Oryzias latipes: one gene and its partners. Each later gene encodes a partner of the first gene's protein in a complex. Links are inferred from orthologs where the notes say so. Each region holds a gene or a part of one and is shown in the gene's direction. Other genes may lie near its edges.

What was found.
Region 2: tubgcp4 (region 1) and tubgcp2 share a complex: the UniProt entries of both Homo sapiens proteins name them as parts of the gamma-tubulin ring complex. The link is inferred for Oryzias latipes from reciprocal best matches to the Homo sapiens genes TUBGCP4 and TUBGCP2.
Region 3: tubgcp4 (region 1) and nme7 share a complex: the UniProt entries of both Homo sapiens proteins name them as parts of the gamma-tubulin ring complex. The link is inferred for Oryzias latipes from reciprocal best matches to the Homo sapiens genes TUBGCP4 and NME7.

Annotation. Positions count from the first base shown.
Region 1 is NC_019861.2:4,196,712-4,200,809, reverse strand, and holds the start of tubgcp4 (gamma-tubulin complex component 4), read left to right. Parts: upstream 1-1,298; 5' UTR 1,299-1,385; coding exon 1,386-1,463; intron 1,464-1,915; coding exon 1,916-2,044; intron 2,045-4,098. Other genes in the region: protein CDKN2AIP homolog B-like, read right to left, coding at 513-766. UniProt on the Homo sapiens protein: Component of the gamma-tubulin ring complex (gTuRC) which mediates microtubule nucleation.
Region 2 is NC_019877.2:19,482,281-19,485,780, forward strand, and holds part of tubgcp2 (gamma-tubulin complex component 2), read left to right. Parts: coding exon 1-8; intron 9-151; coding exon 152-311; intron 312-379; coding exon 380-587; intron 588-1,016; coding exon 1,017-1,216; intron 1,217-3,268; coding exon 3,269-3,458; intron 3,459-3,500. UniProt on the Homo sapiens protein: Component of the gamma-tubulin ring complex (gTuRC) which mediates microtubule nucleation.
Region 3 is NC_019862.2:27,538,141-27,541,640, reverse strand, and holds part of nme7 (nucleoside diphosphate kinase 7), read left to right. Parts: intron 1-1,320; coding exon 1,321-1,431; intron 1,432-3,500. UniProt on the Homo sapiens protein: Possesses an intrinsic kinase activity. Displays 3'-5' exonuclease activity with a preference for single-stranded DNA. Does not seem to have nucleoside diphosphate kinase activity.

The DNA of each region.
Region 1 (4,098 bases):
TTCTTTTAAGGCACTCAAACGCTTAGCCACGTGTTTAACCTTTGTGCTCTCCTAGGCACTTTAACGTTGGGAGTTGGGTCATCTAGACCCACTAGACAGTGTTCTGAACCTTTTTTCTTCAATGATTTGTGATCTTCACTGGTGTCCATGGATTACATGAAATCTTTCCACCTTTATCCACCTTTGTCATGGTAGGGAGAACACGTCAATGTTGGGGGGGGGGGGGGGGTCATCTAAGATAGCACAAGGGTTAATATGAAATGATGGAGTACCACCTCTGTTTCCATGACAACACTGACTCCTGCAGCTCAAACTAAACTCTGAGCACCAAAGATCATCTAAGCACTGCTCATCTACTCGATGTGAACCCACTCCATTCGTCAGAGTGTTGGTACGTTAACAGACCACTTCTTGCAGCTTCCCCTGGCGGGTCACCGCTGACCCCGGCGACGGGTCACTGCTGACCCCGGTGACAGGGACAGCCCTGGCCAAAGTTCGTTTGAGAGTCGCACCTGCAGCCCAGAAAGACGTGGTTGGCCCAGACCATGGACAGGGACAGCAGGCTGTCCAGGCTGGGGCTGTGGGCTCCGGGCTGCGCGGCGGGGACCCCCTGCCCCTCCATGTTCCGCAGGATGAACTCCCTCCGCGCGGACCACTGCTTGCTGGTCTCACAGAAGCCCCTCAGAGAGTCCACCCACCCCGCCAAATGCGGGTTCTGCTGCAGGTACTCCGAGACCGGGTCGTCTCCGCCCCTCTGCGCCGCCATCCACGTCCACGAACCCTCGCCGCTCAGAGCCTCGCAAACCTGATCCAGGTGAGACCGGAGGGAGCTCCCGGTGGCCTACATGGATGGACACGGACTTTGGACACTTTCCGCCCGGCTGGCGAGTTAAACACGAACTCTTCTCTAAAACGCGCCTGACTGGTTTAAACTCGGCTCAGCTCGACCCTCCTCCTCTGAATTCCGGTTTAGAAGCGGGCTAAATGTGGGTCAAACCGAGCTTTAAACTTGGCCCGGAGCCTCTGAACTGCTCCACTCTGAACCCGCTGCTAGCTGCTGTACCTCCGGGTGATGACGTCAGACCCGCGACAGCATTTCTTCAACTACATTTCCCAAAACAACAACAAAAAACTAAATTTCCCGTTAGTCTGATTTAATTACATTTATTCATCATTTCAAATGACACTTCCAACAATTATGTGCTACGGATTTACGTTTAATTCCTACGTTACTTTTAATATTATTTCCAGAAATAAGAACACGCAAAAACTATAACGTACTGCGCATGCGTTCATGTTGATGACGTAGGCTTCGACCGGAAGGCGGGTTTGTTTTGCCGAATGAAAGAGGTCCAGCCCAGTGTCGGGGTCGTAGGGTAAATACAATGATTCACGAGCTCTTACTGGCGCTGAGCGGGTACCCCGGCACCATCTTTACCTGGAACAAGAGGACGGGTCTGCAGGTAAACGGAAGTCACGTGTCCGACTCGAAACGTGATCATTATATTCCTTTAGCCGCAACCTGCAGACCAGTCAAATGCTGCATCGAGCACCGCAGACCCCCTACCTGGACCCCCCCACCCCTGAACTCCCTCCCCATGCCCGCAGCCCCTCCCTCCTGTGCAGCAGCTGGTGGTCCCTGCAGCAGAAGCTCCATCATGGAGGAAGGAAGCATCTCCTTAGGGAACCACGTCTGCTGACATCTTCATGTTTCTTTGCTACAGATTATTTACGGCTAATCAGAGTCATTCTAAAATACCGCTCATTCCCAGTCCCGATCATTGATCCAGATTCATGAAATGACTACATGCTTTGTGTGAAGTTAGAATCTTGTGTTGTGCAGGAGTTGGTTAACTGTATGGATGTGAAAAGCTGCCGGTCTCTGTCAGAATGAAACATTAATGCTGATGTGCAGGTGTCCCAGGAGCTGCCCTTTCTTCACCCCAGCGAGGCCAGCGTCCTGAACCGGATCTGCAAACTGGGCTCAGATTATATCCGCTTCACAGAGTTCATAGAGCAGCACACGGGACATGTCCACCAGCAGGTGAGTCTGTGTTCAGCAGCAGGTCAGTCTGGTCTCAGGCTCTGGTCTCAGGCTCTGGTCTCTGGTCTCAGGCTCTGGTCTCAGCCTCTGGTCTCAGGCTCTGGTCTCAGGCTCTGGTCTCTGGTCTCAGGCTCTGGTCTCTGGTCTCAGGCTCTGGTCTCAGGCTCTGGGCTCAGCCTCTGGTCTCAGGCTCTGGTTTTGTATACTCTGGTCTCAGGCTCTGGTCTCAGGCTCTGGTCTCAGGCTCTGGTCTCAGGCTCTGGTCTCTGGTCTCAGGCTCTGGTCTCTGGTCTCAGGCTCTGGTCTCTGGTCTCAGGCTCTGGTCTCAGGCTCTGGTCTCAGGCTCTGGTCTCAGGCTCTGGTCTCAGGCTCTGGGCTCAGGCTCTGGGCTCAGGCTCTGGTCTCAGGCTCTGGTCTCAGAGTCTGGTTTTGTATACTCTGGTCTCAGGCTCTGGTCTCTGGTCTCAGGCTCTGGTCTCTGGTCTCAGGCTCTGGGCTCAGGCTCTGGGCTCAGGCTCTGGGCTCAGGCTCTGGTCTCAGGCTCTGGTCTCTGGTGTCAGGCTCTGGTCTCAGGCTCTGGTCTCAGGCTCTGGTCTCAGAGTCTGGTTTTGTATACTCTGGTCTCAGGTCTCAGGCTCTGGTCTCAGGCTCTGGTCTCAGGCTCTGGGCTCAGGCTCTGGTCTCAGGCTCTGGGCTCAGGCTCTGGTCTCTGGTCTCAGGCTCTGGTCTCTGGTCTCAGGCTCTGGGCTCTGGTCTCAGGCTCTGGTCTCAGGCTCTGGTCTCAGGCTCTGGGCTCAGGCTCTGGTCTCAGGCTCTGGGCTCAGGCTCTGGTCTCTGGTCTCAGGCTCTGGTCTCAGGCTCTGGGCTCTGGTCTCAGGCTCTGGGCTCAGGCTCTGGTCTCAGGCTCTGGTCTCAGGCTCTGGTCTCAGGCTCTGGGCTCTGGGCTCAGGCTCTGGTCTCAGGCTCTGGGCTCAGGCTCTGGTCTCAGGCTCTGGTCTCAGGCTCTGGTCTCAGGCTCTGGGCTCAGGCTCTGGTCTCAGGCTCTGGTCTCAGGCTCTGGGCTCAGGCTCTGGGCTCAGGCTCTGGTCTCAGGCTCTGGTCTCAGGCTCTGGTCTCTGGTCTCAGGCTCTGGGCTCAGGCTCTGGTCTCAGGCTCTGGTCTCAGGCTCTGGTCTCAGGCTCTGGTCTCTGGTCTCAGGCTCTGGTCTCAGGCTCTGGTCTCAGGCTCTGGTCTCAGGCTCTGGTCTCTGGTCTCAGGCTCTGGTCTCTGGTCTCAGGCTCTGGGCTCAGGCTCTGGTCTCAGGCTCTGGTCTCAGGCTCTGGGCTCAGGCTCGGGGCTCAGGCTCGGGGCTCAGGCTCTGGTCTCAGGCTCTGGTCTCAGAGTCTGGTTTTGTATACTCTGGTCTCAGGCTCTGGTCTCTGGTCTCAGGCTCTGGTCTCTGGTCTCAGGCTCTGGGCTCAGGCTCTGGGCTCAGGCTCTGGGCTCAGGCTCTGGTCTCTGGTCTCAGGCTCTGGTCTCTGGTCTCAGGCTCTGGGCTCTGGTCTCAGGCTCTGGTCTCAGGCTCTGGTCTCAGGCTCTGGTCTCAGAGTCTGGTTTTGTATACTCTGGTCTCAGGTCTCAGGCTCTGGTCTCAGGCTCTGGTCTCAGGCTCTGGGCTCAGGCTCTGGGCTCAGGCTCTGGTCTCTGGTCTCAGGCTCTGGTCTCTGGTCTCAGGCTCTGGGCTCTGGTCTCAGGCTCTGGTCTCAGGCTCTGGTCTCAGGCTCTGGGCTCAGGCTCTGGTCTCAGGCTCTGGGCTCAGGCTCTGGTCTCTGGTCTCAGGCTCTGGTCTCAGGCTCTGGGCTCAGGCTCTGGTCTCAGGCTCTGGTCTCAGGCTCTGGTCTCAGGCTCTGGTCTCAGGCTCTGGGCTCAGGCTCTGGTCTCAGGCTCTGGGCTCAGGCTCTGGTCTCTGGTCTCAGGCTCTGGTCTCTGGTCTCAGGCTCTGGGCTCTGGTCTCAGGCTCTGGTCTCAGGCTCTGGTCTCAGGCTCTGGGCTCAGGCTCTGGTCTCAGGCTCTGG
Region 2 (3,500 bases), on another chromosome or scaffold:
CCCCACTGGTGAAGAGTTTTCAATTTTCTTACAGCATGCCTGAAATATGTATACATGGAAAAAAAGATTGACTCTCCCATTTTCTTTCAGTCTTTTTAAAATAAGTCTGTATTTTGGTAAATGCTGCTGTTGCTCATCATTGTTTCTGCAGCCCGCTGAAGTCACCAGGAAGATGTTGAGAGACAAACACAACAAGAAGAACCCCACGCAACCAAACCCTGTGTTCCCTAATTGGGTGTATGACCGTCCAGCCCTCATTGGAGACTTCATCACAAGCCCCACTGCAGCTGGAGACCTGACTGTAGCTGTTGGTAAGAGTGCCGTTCTGCTCAGACCTCTGATTCCGGTTTCACTTTTAATCCTTTCATTGTCCGTTCAGGTACGCTGCCTCTGGCGACCCAGGAGCAGGCCCTGGTGGAGGATCTGCTCTTTGTTCTGGTTGGAGTTGATGGGCGGGACATCACAGCTCAGCCCGTCCTGGGGAGGCAGAACCGCTCTTTCATCGTTGATGCGACACTGGACATGTCCGTGAAGGAGCTGGTGAACAGAATCCTTCCTGTTGCATCGTATTACTCCACTATAACTCGGTAAACGCTGGTTTCAGTTCACCTCTTCTCACTGAAAAACAGTCAAATTCTGCTTTCCTGGACAATCCTTTAGATTTGATCTCTGCTTTTTGGGCCACGTTTGAGACAAACTTCTGTTGGAATATTGAATAACAAAAATAAACTCATTTTTGACATACAAACCTTGAAAAGTTAATTTAATAATGGATAAATATTATTCTAACAAGTTTAAAATGTAAAAAGAGATCTAAAACCCAAATAAATTCCAATCAGACCAGAGAAAATTGAAATGATAAATGGCAGAAAACCATACAATCATTTGCTATCTTTAGGACAGTCACTCTTTTATTTTAAAATGATGATTTTAATTCTAGAAAATCTTCTTAATGAAAATTTAGACGTTAATATTTCTGTGAACGTTATTGTCAAATGGTTTTAAACCTTTTGCAGGTTCATCGAAGAGAAGTCCTCCTTTGAGTACGGCCAGGTGAACCACGCTCTGACGGCAGCGATGAGGACCCTGATGAAGGAGTACCTCATCTTGGTCACTCAACTGGAGCACCTGCAGCGGCAGGGCCTGCTGTCCCTGCAGAAGCTTTGGTTCTACATCCAGCCCACCATGAGGACCATGGAGATCTTGGCGTCCATTGGTGAGAGGCTGACTGGGAATGTCCAGACTTTAAAGTCCCACTTCTGTCATCTTTTGATCTATTTTAATGAAAGTGTTCCCGGAGGTCCTTTACTACGATTATATAGTTTTTAGCCAAAATCCAAAAGTCTGTGTCGTTTTTTAAGACATTAAATAAAGAAAATTAAGATAAAACATCGTTAGAGTATTTCTCTATTGTGTTGACTCAGGAGCAGACGAAAAAATGCTGTTTAAAAAAGCTTGTAGTTGTGACGTACAAACTACAGTCGACAGGTCACAAGCTCCCTGCTCTGCTCCATTCCGATGCATCCACTTACAGACAAACAGATTCATGAACGTCTTCGTTTTCCTCGTCAGAGCTGGAATCTGGATCTAAATTGTACGGCTGGATAGCTCTGACATTGCTCGCCATTTTTGTTTGCATCTGTGATTGCTCGGGTTCTGAGGGGCTGTAAGGTAGCACGAGAGAGTGTGGACAGAGGACTAATGGAAAATGAATGCAAGCTTACTGCGCACCACTGGTCTTCCCAACTCAGAGGAGAGTTTCTGATGAACTCCTGCCGCTCTGCAGAAACTAGAAAAACAACACCTATTTTTTTTTATTTTGGCCAAAAGCAGCATAAATATAGTGAACACTTTGAAAATAGATCAAAAGATGATCGAAGTGCAATCCAATTTTCTTTAATTTACTTAACAGGGGAATTTTCTTTTTTCTCATGCTGTGGAAGTTTTAATCTTTTTACAAGGATTCTTATAATTAGTAAAAGATGCAGTTGCATTTTTTACCATTTCATTGTCTTGCATTTACTTTTTTTTAAGTAAGTTTCAGCCTTTAAGCCACAGTCTTTTTAAATTAAATTAAATTAAATTAAATTTTTAAATCAGAAAATCGTGGCACTAAAATAGGTTTTAATTTATTGCAGGTATGTTACCTCAGTGAGCACTTTGCAAGCTGTAGCGAACTTTACTTAAACCTTAATGATTTAGCTGCTGTTTACATTTACAAAGGATATTTGTGGACTTGAAAAGTCACAATCCTGTTTGATTTGTGCTCAGTGTACCAGTTTTTTTCTAATACTTTTAGCCAACCATGCAATAAAAAAATACCTATTTAGTGACCGTGAAAGTACGGGCGTGCTTTACTTTCAAATAAAGTTTGTACTCATTCAGATGTGTGCAAATGTTGTAAAAGTCCTTAATAGTTGCCCTTTGTGTAAGTGTAATCTACACTGACAGCCGATCCCTCAACACTGTTGTATCTTTAGTTAAGTTTGAGGTTCTTCTTGCAGAAGCAGCTTCTCATTTGAACCACCAGGGGGAGCTTTGAGTCAGTTTTCTTCCAAATTTTATTTAGGAAAATTGAGAAAGTTATAAAACCGTACATTTAAATTCACTTAGGTCCAATTTTGGACCCATGACTTATATCTCCATTCTCAACATTTCTTTTCTTTTTTCCATAACATAACTTGGTGTCTAACAAAACACAAAACAGGGAACAGCGGATGCATTATGAGGGAAAGAAGTAAACAAAAAACACACTAAAACATTCAACTTGATTATAATTACAAGCCAGACATTCATTACTTCCATTTGTTGTAAGTGATTAACATAGAATATCCATTGTGGGCATCTGTTTCCGAAGTGAATAGGTTAGTCTTTCTATCTGGCAGATTTCATTTACAATGTCTATCCAATTGTCCAAGCTGGGTACAGTGGGGAGGAGCCAGTGTCTAGTCACTGCTTTTTATTACCAGTGGGTATTAATATTCTGAATAAAATTTTCATTGGTAGGTGGGAGTTGTGTCTTACAGACTGATAAAATCACAGGGTATTGTCTTATTTGATATATATTCAATATGTTTATGTATTTCCTTCCAAAAAATTTTTATAATGGGACAATCCCAAAATATGTGGTAATGGTCGGCTTCTACTTCTCCCCACTGTTTGAGTCAATTTTCACAACCTCTGTGGTCTCTGGATTTTCTGAATTATAGATAAAGCAGGACAGAAAACAGGAATACAGACGGGTTTATTGAAATCTGCTGTTTTCCAGCCTCCTCTGTGGACAAAGGAGAGTGCATGGGCGGAGCAACGCTTAGCCTTCTGCATGACCGGACCTTCAACTACACAGGTGACAGCCAGGCGCAGGAGCTGTGCCTCTACCTCACTAAAGCCGCCAGCGTGCCGTACTTTGAAATTTTGGAGAAGTGGATTTACAGAGGCATCATCAAGGATCCGTACAGGTCTGCATTCAGAGGGGAGACAAAAAATCCTGATAAGGGGTT
Region 3 (3,500 bases), on another chromosome or scaffold:
GCAGCCGATCACCTTCTCTGCTGAGCGCACAATACGCTGTAGCCTGTTAATGTCCCTGGTTGTGGCACTAGTGTACCACACGGTGATGGAGGAGGTGAGGATGGACTCAATGATGGCCGTGTAGAACTGCACCATCATCTGGGCCGGCAGCCGGGCTTTCTTCAACTGCCGCAGGAAGTACATCCTCTGCTGGGCCTTTTTGAGGAGAGAGCAGATGGATGGCTCCCACTTGAGGTCCTGCGTGATGGTGGTGCAGAGGAAACGCACAGAGTCCACTAGGTTGATAGGAGAGTCTGACAGGGTGAGAGGGGGTGAGGGGGGTGTGACTCTCCTGAAGTCCACGATCATCTCCACTGTCTTCTGGGTGTTCAGCTCCAGGTTGTTGATGCTGCACCACGACCCCAGCCAGTCCACCTCCCTCCTATAGGCAGACTCATCATCATTAGAGATGAGTCCGATGAGGGTGGTGTCATCTGCAAACTTGATCAGTTTGACAGAGTCATGGCTGGAGGTGCAGCAGTTAGTGTACAGGGAGAAGAGCAGAGGGGAAAGTACACAGCCCTGTGGAGTTCCTGTGCTGATGCATTGGGTGGTGGAGACATTCTTCCCCAGCCGCACACACTGCCTCCGGTCCATTAGGAAGTCAGTGATCCACCTGCAGGTGGAGTCAGGCACGTTGAGCTGGAGGAGCTTTTCCTGGAGCAGAGAGGGGAGGATGGTATTGAACGCAGAGCTGAAGTCCACGAACAGAATCCTAGCATAGGTTCCCGGGGAGTCCAGGTGCTGCAGGATGAAGTGTAGGGCCTGGTTGATGGCATCGTCTACAGACCTATTGGCTCTGTAGGCGAACTGCAGAGGGTCCAGGAGGGGGGAGGTGAAGGATTTGAGGTGGGGGAGGACCAGACGCTCGAATGACTTCATGACTACAGACGTGAGTGCCACAGGCCTGTAGTCATTGAGGCCAGTTATGCGGGGGTTCTTGGGGACAGGGGGACAAAAAATGTGTTTAGCGGACCAAAGGTATTGTCATACGCATGGATATAGTTTACTGTAAAAGGCTTAAGCATAGCGAGATGTCGGCCCTTTAAAAGCTGCACATACCAGTGTTGTGGTGGCAGCATTATGGCGAGGGTTCAAAGCTAATGGAAGGATTAAAACACGCAAATCAGAAAGGTGAACATCATCTCCACAGGACGCTGAAGTAAAGTTATGTCAAAGGTTTCTTTCATCTTTCCCCTCATTTTGTGAGTTCTTGAAGAAGACTATGTGACGGTGCTGTGATGTTTTCTCTGAAGCTGTTTTCTGTCTCCGTCTGTGCAGAACTCTCGCTCTGATAAAGCCAGATGTTGTGACTAAGATCGGGGATGTGATGGAATTGGTTTACTCCTCCAACCTGATCGTGACCAAAGCTAAGATGACCAGACTTTCATGGTGAGATCACGATGACCCTCCAGATGTGCTGGAGCAACCTGTCAGACATTTACTGACATGATTCTTTGGATGTAGAAAAACAACAGTGGACTGAACTTTAGGAAACTAAAATGTGAATGGATTTGACATTCATTCTGTTTACTTGTTTGTTTGTACACATATTTCATTTACACTTGATTATCTTGCAAGAAATACAAGGAATCTGGAAAACGTCACCTGAACTTTTCAGTACCAGGTATTTATCTATGAGTCACACTGGTTGAATATGTTCTGGATCCGTTTTGGGTCAGTGAATCGGTTCCAATCGGATTCTTTCAAAATGAACCTGTCATGATTTGATTTTGTTGTCTTGTTTTTGGTCCTTGTTCTGTCTTGTTTCTGTTTCCTGTTTTATTTTGAAAGTCTCCTGTCTTGTCTGGTTTCTTGAGTTTTACTTCCTTTGGTTCCCATTCAGCCCTGATCGTGTCCACCTGTGTCTTGTCTGCCCTGTCTGTATATAAGTCTTGTCCCTGCCTTCCTCCTGTGTTGGTCCAGTACCCCTGTTATGGTGTTCATGCCTTGTTCCTTGTCCCTCGCCATGCCACAGTAAGTTTTAGTTTTGTTTTGTCATCCTGCTCTGCAGCGCTTTTTGTTACTATTAAACCCCTTGCCCTTGAACCACGTGCCCCTGCCTCTGCATTCTGGGTCCTACCGGCTCTCGAGCCCCCCTGCACCTTGACAGAATGGACCAACCAAATTTTCTGGACCCAGCAGAGCAGGACTAAACTGGGAGCCGTCTCGCCATGAGGGGGGGTCGACGTCGCCGTCGTCCCCGCCGTCCCCCACAGTCACGTTCAGTGGTGGTCCGGGATGCACCACAGCCACGTTCAGTGGTGGTCCCGGATGCACCACAACCTCCCCCAGTGGTGGTCCCGGACGCACCACAGCCATGTCCAGTGGTGGTCCCGGACGCACCCCAACCCGTCCCGGCTCCCAGGGGGGTGCCGCCTGCACCCCGACCCATCCCAGCTCCCAGGGGGGTGCCGCCTGCGCCCCGACCCGTCCCGGCTCCCAGGGGGGTGCCGCCTGCGCCCCGATGGGTCCCCGGTTCCACTGCCACGCCTGACCCGCCTGAGCTCGGCTCCACGCCTGACCCGCCTGAGCTCGGCTCCACGCCTGACCCGCCTGAGCTCGGCTCCACGCCTGACCCGCCAGAGCTTGACTGCTGGCCCGACCCACCGGAGCCTGACTGCTGGCCCGACCCGCCGGAGCCTGACTGCTGGCCCGACCCGCCGGAGCCTGACTGCTGGCCCGACCCGCCGGAGCCTGACTGCTGGCCCGACCCGCCGGAGCCTGACTGCTGGCCCGACCCGCCGGAGCCTGACTGCTGGCCCGACCCGCCGGAGCCTGACTGCTGGCCCGACCCGCCGGAGCCTGACTGCTGGCCCGACCCGCCGGAGCCTGACTGCTGGCCCGACCCGCCGGAGCCTGACTCCATGCCTGACTCCATGCCTGACTCCATGCCTGACTCCACGCCTGACTCCACGCCTGACTCCACGCCTGACTCCACGCCTGACTCCACGCCTGACTCCACGCCTGACTCCACGCCTGACTCCACGCCTGACTCCACGCCTGACTCCACGCCTGACTCCACGCCTGACTCCACGCCTGACTCCACCACGCCTGACGACTCCACCACGCCTGACGACTCCCCCACGCCTGACGACTCCACCACGCCTGACGACTCCACCACGTCTGACGACTCCACCACGCCTGACGACTCCACCACGCCTGACCTGCCTCGCCGGACCGCACGGCCCCCCGGCCGTCCTCCGGACCTGCCTCGCCGGACCGCTCGGCCCCCGGCCGTCCTCCGGACCTGCCTCGCCGGACGGCGCGGACCCCCGGCCGTTCTCCGGACTCTTGTGCCCGTCGAGGTTTATCCTCCGGGGCCCCCCCCTCATGTGACTTTTGGAACCTCGGAGCGGTTCCTTGAGGGGGGGGTACTGTCATGATTTGATTTTGTTGTCTTGTTTTTGGTCCTTGTTCTGTCTTGTTTCTGTTTCCTGTTTTATTTTGAAAGTCTCCTG